Drosophila melanogaster: one gene and its partners. The protein of the gene in region 2 purifies or fractionates together with the protein of the main gene of each other region. This does not show direct contact. Each region holds a gene or a part of one and is shown on either strand. Other genes may lie near its edges.

The links.
Region 1: the proteins of nsl1 (region 2) and Chro purify together in Drosophila melanogaster (affinity purification with western blotting; 2 studies listed by BioGRID, with this or other methods). This does not show direct contact.
Region 3: the proteins of nsl1 (region 2) and dgt1 purify together in Drosophila melanogaster (affinity purification with western blotting; 3 studies listed by BioGRID, with this or other methods). This does not show direct contact.

The regions. Positions count from the first base shown.
Region 1 is NT_037436.4:22,877,258-22,881,010, forward strand, and holds the start of Chro (chromator), read right to left. Parts: upstream 1,728-3,753; 5' UTR 1,377-1,727; intron 969-1,376; exon of another isoform or gene 762-968; 5' UTR 738-761; coding exon 680-737; intron 619-679; coding exon 193-618; intron 132-192; coding exon 1-131. Other genes in the region: Ssl1 (suppressor of stem-loop mutation), read left to right, coding at 2,109-2,173, 2,227-2,568, 2,621-3,530.
Region 2 is NT_033777.3:15,791,763-15,795,515, reverse strand, and holds the start of nsl1 (non-specific lethal 1), read right to left. Parts: upstream 1,735-3,753; 5' UTR 1,463-1,734; exon of another isoform or gene 1,316-1,462; intron 688-1,315; 5' UTR 610-687; coding exon 1-609. Other genes in the region: Acyp2 (acylphosphatase 2), read right to left, coding at 2,192-2,306, 2,365-2,474, 2,543-2,559, 2,615-2,681; c(3)G (crossover suppressor on 3 of gowen), read left to right, coding at 3,074-3,582, 3,638-3,753.
Region 3 is NT_033777.3:29,855,435-29,859,187, forward strand, and holds the start of dgt1 (dim gamma-tubulin 1), read right to left. Parts: upstream 2,058-3,753; 5' UTR 1,964-2,057; coding exon 1,453-1,963; intron 1,400-1,452; coding exon 1,207-1,399; intron 1,141-1,206; coding exon 977-1,140; intron 920-976; coding exon 519-919; coding exon of another isoform or gene 510-518; exon of another isoform or gene 215-509; coding exon 1-214. Other genes in the region: CG7824 (uncharacterized protein), read right to left, coding at 2,323-3,284, 3,341-3,437.

The DNA of each region.
Region 1 (3,753 bases), on a different chromosome or scaffold from region 2:
GTTGTTCGGCTTCACGGCTCCGGCAGAGGGAACTGAGGAAGGCGTTGGTGTACTCGGCTTGGACTTGGGTCTTTCGTTTTCTGTATCCTTTAGTTGATTGGCTAACGTAGGCAGCTTACCGGTTGGTGATTCTGTTGATTTAAATATAGTTTAATAACAAGTGTGACTTTTATTTAGAATGTTTTGTATTACTTCTGGTAGGGGAGACGCTCGTGTTGTTGTTGTTGCTATTTGATGTGTTGTTATTGTTTGGATTGACCACAGTCTTTGTTATTCGCACAGGCATGTCCTGGAGTTGTCCGTGTGCAATTTTGCCGAATGACTGTATGGTCTTCCCAGCCACAATCCACGGCTCGCGGACGCTATCGTCTAGTTTTACCCAATGCTGGTACAAGGCCCACGAGCTGCCGGACGCGTCCTTGCGCGAGTGCAGCTGAGTAGCTTTCCATAGCGTAAAAGCCCAGATGGTGGGCTTGGGATCGAGCGATTCCTTCAAATTTGCATTTTCCTTTTCGCAGGCGTCCTCTTTGTGGGCCTGAAACTCTTCCACGAAGTTGTAGGCCCGGAGACATCGTCCACATACAAGAACGTCCATGTTTGCCAATTCCTCCTGTGCAGCTGCAGGGCAGAACACAAAATTAACAATAAAAATTATTTACCAATGTTTTTAGTCACTCACCTCTTATAATGTTTGCGTGTTTGCCGATTTCCGTAGGTGAAATCTCCTGTGCCAACATTATTCACGACTCCAGCGCCCAAGCCTTTGAAGAGAGCATTTAAAGTGTGACTTAAAAATAGTGCTGAATGGAGTCTTATTATTTGTTATTGCTTGGTTTTGAAATATTGGTAAACGGCGAAGAAAAAGTACAGTGCCGTGGTGTGTTTGTGCTAACTTGAACCAGGTGGCAACGCGAACGGTCGCTGTCTGCGGTGTGTGTCCGATATGGTGAGTTCAAGCATATGTACATCTGCAATGGGCAAAATGCAGCGGCGCTTAGGCAGCCGAAAAAAAACACTAAGTACATTATGAAAAGAACGAGCCTGCCGCACTGTTGTAGATATATAATATAATAAAACACAGAAAAGCACGAACTATGCGTAATGCGACTTTATTAGTTACTTAAACTTATCTGTTACAAATGCATTTGAACTTCAACACAGCTAAAAATTAAAATAAATAAAACCCTATGGTTCGATCCTATTTGTTTTCATTTAAAAAAAAGGATTACATATAGTTTAAATAATATCAAAGTTCACAATTTCATTTTGCCCGCTAAACCTTGCAGGCACTAGATATAGGCCAGGTATGATTGCAAATAAGCCTATTCCACATATCATTAAATTAAAAGATTTCTCTAGAACACTTTGGTACACACCTTCATAAACAATTTTGGATAAATATCAAACTGAATGTTGTTTCAAACGGTTATTTTAATTTAACTGACTCCCGATTTTTCAACACGAGCAGCTCCACTGCTGCTCACAGTTGTACGCGCGAACTCTGAATGCCAAAAGCGAAATTCGGCTGCACGGAAATTGTCCAGAGATGATTTGGTTCCGGCTGTGCGGACCTTAGAATGCTCTTCTGTGCTAAGCTATTTAAATCCTAATATTACTGGGAGTGTATTGCCTGTCGATAGCTTTAAACTAACTGCAGTCCAGTAAATTTTAAGATTTCGAAGGTTTTTTCGAATATAGTATATGATATAAAACGCGGGTTTCAATGCTTGCACGGTTTTAAGTGCCCAAACTTAGGGTGTAGCGCCCTTTTCAGTTCGCCCGTGTGGCGGTGCACTTAGTTAGCCAATTACGCGTCGTGGTGGGTATATTTATTGATGTGGCAACTTTGGGCGCAATAATAATAATATTGTACTTTTTTTGTTCATATTAGGTAAGAAATTCGAAATTATTTTTTATTATTTCATTTTATTATGTCATTCTTTTGTAGATATTTATTGATATAAATACTTACCCAGGGTTGCCACCCAGTGTATTGTATTTAACGTAGGCCCTGTGTGTACACACTGTTACATTAGCCGGCGCATTTTATTTAGCGTTAATTGCTTTTCTTTCTTGATTTGACTTGGTAGTGCATCAGGACTGCAAGTATGGCCGACGATGAGCAAGAGGACCAGAAGGAGTACCGCTGGGAAACGGGCTATGAAAAGACATGGTGCGATGGTGTGCGTGACAATGTAAGCCCGCACTTACTTTTAATCCTATTAGGGAGGCCATCAAGGACGACGAGGATGGGATGCTGGATGGAGCCATTGCAGAGATCATTCAGAAGGCCAAACGCCAGAGGCAGGCTCAAAAGTCCAAGCAGAACCGCCTGGGCATGATGCGCCACATGTTCGTTGTGCTCGATTGCTCTGAGTCCATGAGCGTGCCTGATTTGAAACCCACACGACTGCGGTGCACCGTCAAGCTGCTGGAGCTGTTTATCGAGGAGTTCTTCGATCAGAACCCCATCAGCCAATTAGGACTCATAGCGCTAAAAGCTAAGCGAGCGGAGAAGGTGACCGAACTTACCGGCACTTCGCGCGTGCACCTCAAAGCGCTAGAGAGGTAAGAACCGAATCAAACCAGCGTTCTCCATTTATATCCCCTTTTTGTTTAGCTTGGCTAACGTGTCCTTGACCAGCGAGCCTTCGCTGCAAAATGGCCTAGATCTGGCCCTAAAATCGCTTAAGGTGGTGCCGTCGCACGCCTCCCGAGAGATCGTCATTATCATGGGCTCGCTCACCACATGTGATCCTGTCGATATTAACCTCACCATCGACGAGTTAAAAAAGGAGGGCATACGCTGCTCGGTTATTTCCCTGTCCGCTGAGATTCACGTGGCCCGCTACCTCACTCAGCAAACAATGGGCACCTTCGGGGCTGTTTTGGATGATGCACATTTTCGGGATCAACTCATGTCTCAGGTAGATCCACCGCCCGCCGCTAAGACTCAGCACAACTCGCTTATTCGCATGGGCTTCCCGCACACAAAGAATGAAGTTGAGGGCAAGGACGCGCCATTGTCCATGTGCATGTGCCACATAGAGAACTTGGAGGAGCCCAGTGAACTGACCACTACTGGCCACCACTGCCCGCAATGCAACAGCAAGTACTGCGAGCTGCCCGTGGAGTGCCAGTCTTGCGGCCTCACCCTGGTCTCCGCGCCGCACTTGGCGCGTTCCTACCACCACCTTTTCCCGGTGCCAAATTTTGAGGAACTGCCGTTTGAGGCGATGCCTGCTTCGTCATCCGACCTCACCAGCGATGTCAGGGAATGTTACGGCTGCGCCAAAGCTCTTGGGCAAGGCGTTGACAAGGTCGCCGATAAAGTCGTCTTCAGATGCGGTTTCTGCAAGCAGTTCTTCTGCGTTGACTGCGACATCTTCATTCACGACACATTGCACGCCTGCGTGGGATGCAACACCATTCCCGGCGTAGACGGTCTGGTTTACCAGCAAAGTTCCAAGTCTGACCAGGTTGATGCACACCCAGGGCCCTCAAAGCAGCGCGGCCAGTGTGGGATGTAACTGACTTTCTATAGATAGATATTTCGAACTTCCACATAACTACGCATTTGGGGCAAACAAAATACAGTTCGTTTCGAAACGGTGGTTATGAGTTGTATCAATTAAAATCTGGTTTTATGCTTAATAATTGTGAAGGCGAGCGTAGCATTATTATGGCCGTTGTGTGAGACCCTCTCAATTGTATTGCTAATTACTTGGTCATAGGCTCTCTGTGCCGCTTCAT
Region 2 (3,753 bases):
AGCACTCGTTGAACTTGTGGCCACTGCCAGCACCGAGGCAGGCGGAACCGGCTCTTTCCCCAGACTCACATCGGGTAGGGTTTTCCTCAGGCAAATCTCCGCGGATATGGTCTCCTCAAAGTTGATGGTTAGATCCGCCAGTAGCTGAGCGGTGGAGTTGTCCTTGGGCGTGGAGCTGTTGTCGGCGGAGGTGCTGTTGCCGGCGGAGGTACTGTTGCTGTCGTTATTGTTGTGCTCCACGGCAGAGGTGGAGGCTGCCGCAGTATCCGTCGAGGGATTTGGTGAAGTGGTGCTGTGTGGAGTCGGGGCTGTGCTCAGCCCCATTGGTTCATTGCTGGCTTTAGCGTTGCCCGACTTTCGCTTGTTATTGATTGCTAGCGAGGATCGCTGCTGTTGTAGATGCGGGGAAGCGGTAACTGAGGCCGCTGCCGCTGATGAGCGGGTAATCCGCGTGGTGGCCGTGGCCGGCGTGGGTGTTGCCGGCTTCTTGACCAAGCCAACTGCACATCCAACTCCTCCGCTTTCCGAGGAGCTGCGGGCCGAGGGCGAGGCGGTGCTGGTTAGCTTCTCCTTTGGACTTAGTGGCTCGGCTGTGAGCGCTGGGGCCATCGTTCTGATGCTAATACGTTGGCCGGCTGCTGCGGCATTTGGTTCGTTCGACTCCTAAGGCGTCTCTTTATGCTAATCCTGTCGAGAATTTTCCAAAAACGGGCTATTATTTTTCGGCAATTCAGCGTTAGGACGACAAAATAAAGGCATACTATTCGGTCCGAGACTACTGCGTTATCATATAAAAGAACAATATTGGTGTATTTATTTTTTATCTCGTTTAAACCGCCCGCCTCCGTAAGATTTCAAAATTTGGAATGGTTTTTTTTTTTTGTCTTTTCCGGCGTGTTATGTACATATGCTACATATGCGTACACAACACACACACAGCGTCGCTTTGGCCAACAAGAGAACCCATGAGAGCGAGAGAGAGGTCAGAAAGCGCGCTATTGCACACCATGATGCGCAATAAAAAAAACTGTATAGAACACACACACACAAACATATGCAGGGACTGACAGACTACTTTACATACTGACGAAATCATTGCGGTTACTTTCGAAAATTACAATTTTCCAAGATTGGGCATCTTCTGCCGGCGGGAAACTGCCGATCATGCCACCATGTTTTTATGTAATTCCGTTTATTGAGTTTTTCCACTACAATTAGCCTAGGCAAACGGAAACTCGCGCCTTTACACACACACACGCACATGCTAGCACACACACACGTGCAACTGTATGCGCCACTATATTCAGTTATTTACACAATCTCATTTATTGTATTCCACATGTCTCGATCAATTCTGCAGTAAAAATCAGTTATATGTGCTTTGTGTCCTATCTATATTCGCCCAGATTCCAGCGAAAGGGCAGTGGAAAAAGGTTTTCAGCGCGAAAGTAATCGTACTCACTAACACATGCAAGCAAGAACACACCGACAGCAGGCAGGCAGCACGCAAGAATTTGTAAATTGCTTAAAAATTAAGTAGTATTTTTTTTCATTATACGCACAATTCGGCCGTTCCGAAAAATTGCCCGTAGCACAATTGGCAAATATTTTTTGCAAACACAATGGCGTGACTCGCACTGTAGGAATTACGGTTTTCGCTTCACGGACTTTTTTCCTCATTTATTTTTTTCATCGCTTAGACTGCTCTGCTACGCTTTTGGCAAAACGACGTGTATCGAAGCTGTACTCGTTTCTGTGCCAGACCAAAGTGCGCTGTCGCCCAGCTGGTTGTCTCGCTCTTGCACGTGCGCCGCCTATGGCGGTGGCGCGGCCCACTGTTGTGTGTGCGAGCGAGATGACCAGTGTCTATGGCAGGGAGCTGCAAACTATCGGCTGTGATAGCAATATATCGAGTAGATACTGGAGTGGTGCGCACTTTCGACTAGCGACTATCGATTCTCGGAATAATTTTCCGCCTTGTTTTAAATAATTTATTATTTATTTATTGTTGTACTTCAGTACTGGGTTCAGTTTTGCGAAACGTAATATTTCTTATGTTCATACTATCGAATGTTATCGACTCAGTCGATAGCAATGCAGATATGCCTGCTTACGCAAGTTGCAGCCCTGGTAATTTATTTAGACTTTGTTTCGGAATTGGATGGACAACGAAAGAGCTAATAATTCGTTTTTAATGTTTTATGTCAAAGGAAGTGAACGTATAGTCCTCGATTTCCTGGATTTGCGAAAATTCAGCCTTTGAGACCTTAGCGTTGGGAATTCGGTTGTTCTCCAGCCAATGTTTCCTTCAAATTAGTGGGCGATGGTTAAATGATTGAATTAGTGGAGTGCAGCGGTACCTACATTTCCATTAAATTCATCATAGGAGCCTCCAGTTGTCCCTTGACGGTCCCATCCCGGGTATTCATGCACCAGCCCCTAACTCCCAATCTTTTAGCCTCATGCGACGTGTGCTAAGCCAAAAATGTACATAAGTTAAATGTTGATTTCCAGATATATATATAGGCCTCCCAGTACTTACTTTGCGGAAGAACACACCTGCAAAATTTAATACGCTGTTTAACAAGCCGAATCAGAAAAATGCATTGCATACCTTGCACTCGTCCAAAGATCTCGAAATCGAGGGCAAATATCTGCTTGGCAACTCCAGATCCCGCCATTATGTAGTCGTGATCAGATTTCTGATGCCACTTAGATTCCTTGCAGCACTCAAATTTCTAAATAGAGCTAGCAAAAACTGAATGTTGACAACCAAAATAGAATTATTATTAAATTGTAACATAGTTATCGTAGCCAGGGCGACAACGCAAAACCAGGGGCGTTCAGTAGAAAATACCGTGAGGTCAGTATTTAGACAGTACACACACCTCTTGTGAACAACAATATACTGTAGGTCATCAAGCTCATCTCTAGCTAATGTTTACCGTTGCTTTTCAACGCAGGACGCACTTGGTAAAAGTTTAGGTAAACTAAACAAAACGTTTGTAATGTACAATATATATTTATTTCTTTTATAAATTAGTTGCGCTAATACAACTGCTTAGCTGGCAAAATGACGGGCGCCAAGAAAAGATCGGGAGCACCGTTAGTGGATGCAGCTCACTCGAAAGCCCCAAAACCAGGTACAGTTGCCCAAGAAAAAAACAGCCAAATTCCAACTGTTTGGAAAAAGGATCATGTAAAAACTCAACTTTTCGAAAGATCAAACGAAAAGCCATCCAAAAAAAGAACTCCGCTAGTGGCTCCTAGAGTTCAGCAATCAAAAATTGAAGCGCAAACTTCTCAGGCTGTGGAAAAAACACAGGAAGACCAAACTTTTGCAGCCACCATAGACAGTTCAACAAAAAGTCTAAAAAAGTCTCCCAAAAACGAGGGAGAATTATGGGCAGATATTCAGAAGCTGTCGCCCCACACGGGAATAATAATTCATAGCTTCATAAAGCAGTACAACGAATCGCTAAATAATCTCAAGAAGAAAGACTTGGTGGTCAGCAAGAAAATGAGAGCCATCGCCATGGACTCGCTGAAGAAAAAATCGGAAAATATCAGCTTGAAGGAAAAGTAAGACCTTCCTTCTTCAATACAGTTCCTGCCTGCAGTGAGCTTATTCTTTCAGGTTGACAAATATGGAACTGGAGCTGACCCAACTGAAAACTGATCTTATCGAGCAGCAGGAGAAGAACGCAGAGAACATCCAGAAGTACACGGAAATCAACAAAAAGTACACCCACT
Region 3 (3,753 bases), about 14 Mb from region 2:
CCATGTCCAGGAACATGGAGTAATCATCGTCGAGGGAGTTTGCCAGATCGTCAACTCCGTCAAGGTCAAAATCGAATATACCATTGGCAAAATCCAAGAGGTCATCCCCCTCCGGCTGCGGCTCATTCCGTGGGTCTTCTCCGACAAAGTTATCGAGACCACGGCCTGCTGCGAAAATACTTTCTACCGGCGGAGTGCTGGGAACTTCATAAAACTGGGGGATGAGAGGTCGGCAATTTATTCAGGGTCGATCACAAAGGGCTTGCTTAGACAGTACTAGCACTTATATACATGTGTTTCGTGTTGTTTCTCTAGATATACTTAGCTTTACTACAAATCAAGCCTAAATACTAGTTACGCAGTATTGTTTGTTCGAACTGTCTTACAGTTGGCTTACTATAGTTTCAGCAGTCATGTGCAACACAACTTATGGCAATGGGTGAGTGGACAGTTGGAATATATAAGCAGTTACTTGTGGTGGTTATGGCGTGGGTTGGGTTAGTGTTTGATCAACGCACCTTTTGTATATACTGGCGCTTAGCCGGCGCCACGGTCAGGTGCAGTACGCAACTGGAGTCTTCGAGAATGCTAGCCACTGGCTCCTGGCAGACCACCCCACTCCGCTCCACGCCGCAGGCTCGGAACAGCACCTGGCGCTTATCCTCCAGAATGTGCTTGCGGCAGTGCTTGCAGCAGGGCAGCGTTCGCTCACCACACTTGACACCGCCTTCGGTGAAGACGCACTTCGGGTTGCTCGACGACTTGGCTGCGTACAAGGCGTCGCGAGCTCGCTTCTCCTTCAGTTTCTTGTAGAGCACCGCCTCGACGCCCTGGCGTCGATGATAGCTATTCAGCGCCTTTAGCTGCTCGTACAGCTTTCGCTCGTGTGGCGTGTCCTTTAGCTGATCGTGAATGCTGCCTGAAAGTGTGGCATAAGACACATTATCCTGCATACCTAAAGGCAAGTGAAACTTACAATATAGCTCTCGCTCGCGTCGTATATCGTGCAAATACTTGCGACGTCGCTGCCTCAGCACGTTCTGCAGATATGAAATCTGCTCGCGGTAAAGACCCTGAAGCTTGATCAGCTTCGTTTCGGCAATCTTTACTGCCTCTGCGCGTGTAAAGACGCCAGCGTGTCTACAAGGGAGAAGAAAAAATTAAAATTTCCTTAAAAAATAGTGCTACGAATAAATCAAATCTTACTTCAAAGGATCATCATCCTCCGAATCGATACTCTCATGGTCAGATTCGTAAAACTCAATGTCCTGGGCGGTGTTCCTGAGACAGGGCGGATCTGCATCGTTGCTGGAACTATCGGAAGCATAATCCAAAATGCGACGTCGCTTGCGAGAGCTCTCCACAACATGTCCTATGGAATTGCGGTGATCCTGAGTGACTAGAAGTGAGGAAAATTAGATTTCAGCTCGGTTTATAGTCAGCAAGACATACCAAATGGCGTCACGTGGGGTGAGACCACATCGATTTCATCATCATCGCGTTCGATCTTTTTCACCTCTGGCTTTATGTCCTCCACATTAATGTGCGATGAGAGGCTGTGCAGCAGGGTCTCGTTGGTCTCCACCCGGCTGCGAATGCGGCCCACATTCATGTGCGTCTTCTGCAGCTGCGTCTGCCGGTTGTGCTCGAAGCAGAGGGTCGTCAGGATCAGCTCCTTCTTGTTGTCATACTTGGCCACCGCGTTGATGCACTTCCTGCCGTTCGAGTAGACGTGCGAGCACTGTCGGAAGTTGGAGCGCGGGTCGCGCAGGATGTGTCGGATGCAATACTCGTAGCCCTCGATCCGCATCAGGCTGCACTCGTAGGTGGGATTGGCGCAGTACTTAATCTTGACCAGCTCGCTGTGGATCTGCTCCCGCAGCTGGTGCTCCTTGTCCGGAGTGCAGGGCGTGCCGGTGAAGCGGGCGCACTGCCGCAATTGGTTTGGCGAAAAGCTGGACATCGTCCTTTCAAGATTTTTGCCGCTTTTTAGAAATTGTTCTCTGATTTTTCAGACGAAGCGAAATGAAATAAAATGCTGTGGAAACAGTGTGACCACAGCAAAGTAGAGCATAAATACCCCACACGTTGTCACGCTTGCCAACCAGTCAGCATCGCCATGAACCAAAAGAGGGTATCCCACCTCCCATGTTGAGTTTCTATATTTAAAAATATCTTAAGATTAAGGTTAAATTTGATAAAAATGCTGTCTAAGTTGGCATCTAAAACCAATTGGAGATTTATTAGGTTATGAAATTCGTTTCTTTCTCTAACAATATTATTACTCTAATAAACATAGCTTAGAGCCTGAGGATTTATGGTTTAATGGGGAAAATGGCAAAATGGGTGGTAGTTGTCGAACTCCGATGGCAAATCGTCTGCTTCGCTTAAAATGAGCTGGATCTGGGCCATTCGTATGCCATAGCGCAACTTGTAGTCCACTGCATCCAGTTGCGGGATGCACCTCCGGTTGATAAGGAGCAGGAAACTCTGACTGATCTCCATGACTTCCTCCGCCCTGAGGATGGACCAGTCCGACATGTCCACATTTAGGTTCTGGGCTCTCAAGCAGATCATGATCCGGTTGTGGTCCGTTTGACCCGTGGGCAACCAGATGCGCGCCTGAGGCGCAAATGGTACATCGCTGACATGGACGAGCTTGATGCGCATGTCATGCCACGAGTTGCTAATCGCGGCAACACAGTCCGACAGGAATACCTTTGAAAATCCGTCTTCGCACCGGATCACTCGGTGGCCACGAACTACGTCTGAGCTATCGAAGGACGGGACGGGACCCCCCGGCATGGCCATGACTCTGTCAGTCACCATGTACGCCAGCTGGGCCTCGACCTCCTGCCACCTTTCGTTAAGCAGACGGCCGTCTTCGTGGAGCTCGTCCACCAGGGCCATCGTCAGGTTGTCACTCTTTGCCAAATTGGGCTTCGCAGCCATAGGAGGACTTGTATTCTTGGGTCCCTTTGCCTTCTTGTGGGCACTAGCCTCCTTGGAGCCCTTTGCCTTTTTGGGTTCAAGTTCACTAGCCTTCTTGAGTGCCGCTTTATTTTGCTTCTTACGCTTCCTTGCTTTTTTACCCGCACCCCTGGTAACCACCGATTTCGCTGCTCTTGCCTCTGTATTCCGTATTTTCTTGGCTCGAGCGCGTGCGCGCCTGGACATTTCCTTCTCCTCCTTTACTGCACGTTTTTGATTAGCGTCCTGTGGAGATAAGCGGGGCTTTTCTTCAGGGGGCTCGGATTTTACACTCCGGAGAGAGTCGCCACGATCTTGAAGGACCAAGTGTAGCAGTTAGCATCGAGAAGGCTGACAACACACGACTTACCATTGTCATCGATTACAATCACATCCTCGAACTTCTGAGCCCTTATATTTTCGTTATTGCAGAAAGAGTCCTTCCTTTTTGTCCAAATACTGGACATTTTGTCAATTATTGCGTCTTGGTTTCTCAGAGCTAAGCAATAAACAAAATGTGTTTACCATCGAAGCGCGAAAAAAGGCCTAAAAATAACTGTAGTTCCACGTGGTTGCAACCCATGATAGACAATCAGCGGTGGCGCAAACCAGGGCGGAATTTAAAAACAATCCAAATTCGTTCCTTCAATCGTTTATTTATTTCATAAACTGTATTGTCTTTGTACAAACAGGAAAAGCTCTTACTTACTTGATGAACAAAACGGGCCGCTTGACTTGAACTGGGTATTTCGCTGGCGTGAACAAGCTTAATGCATAGTCCAT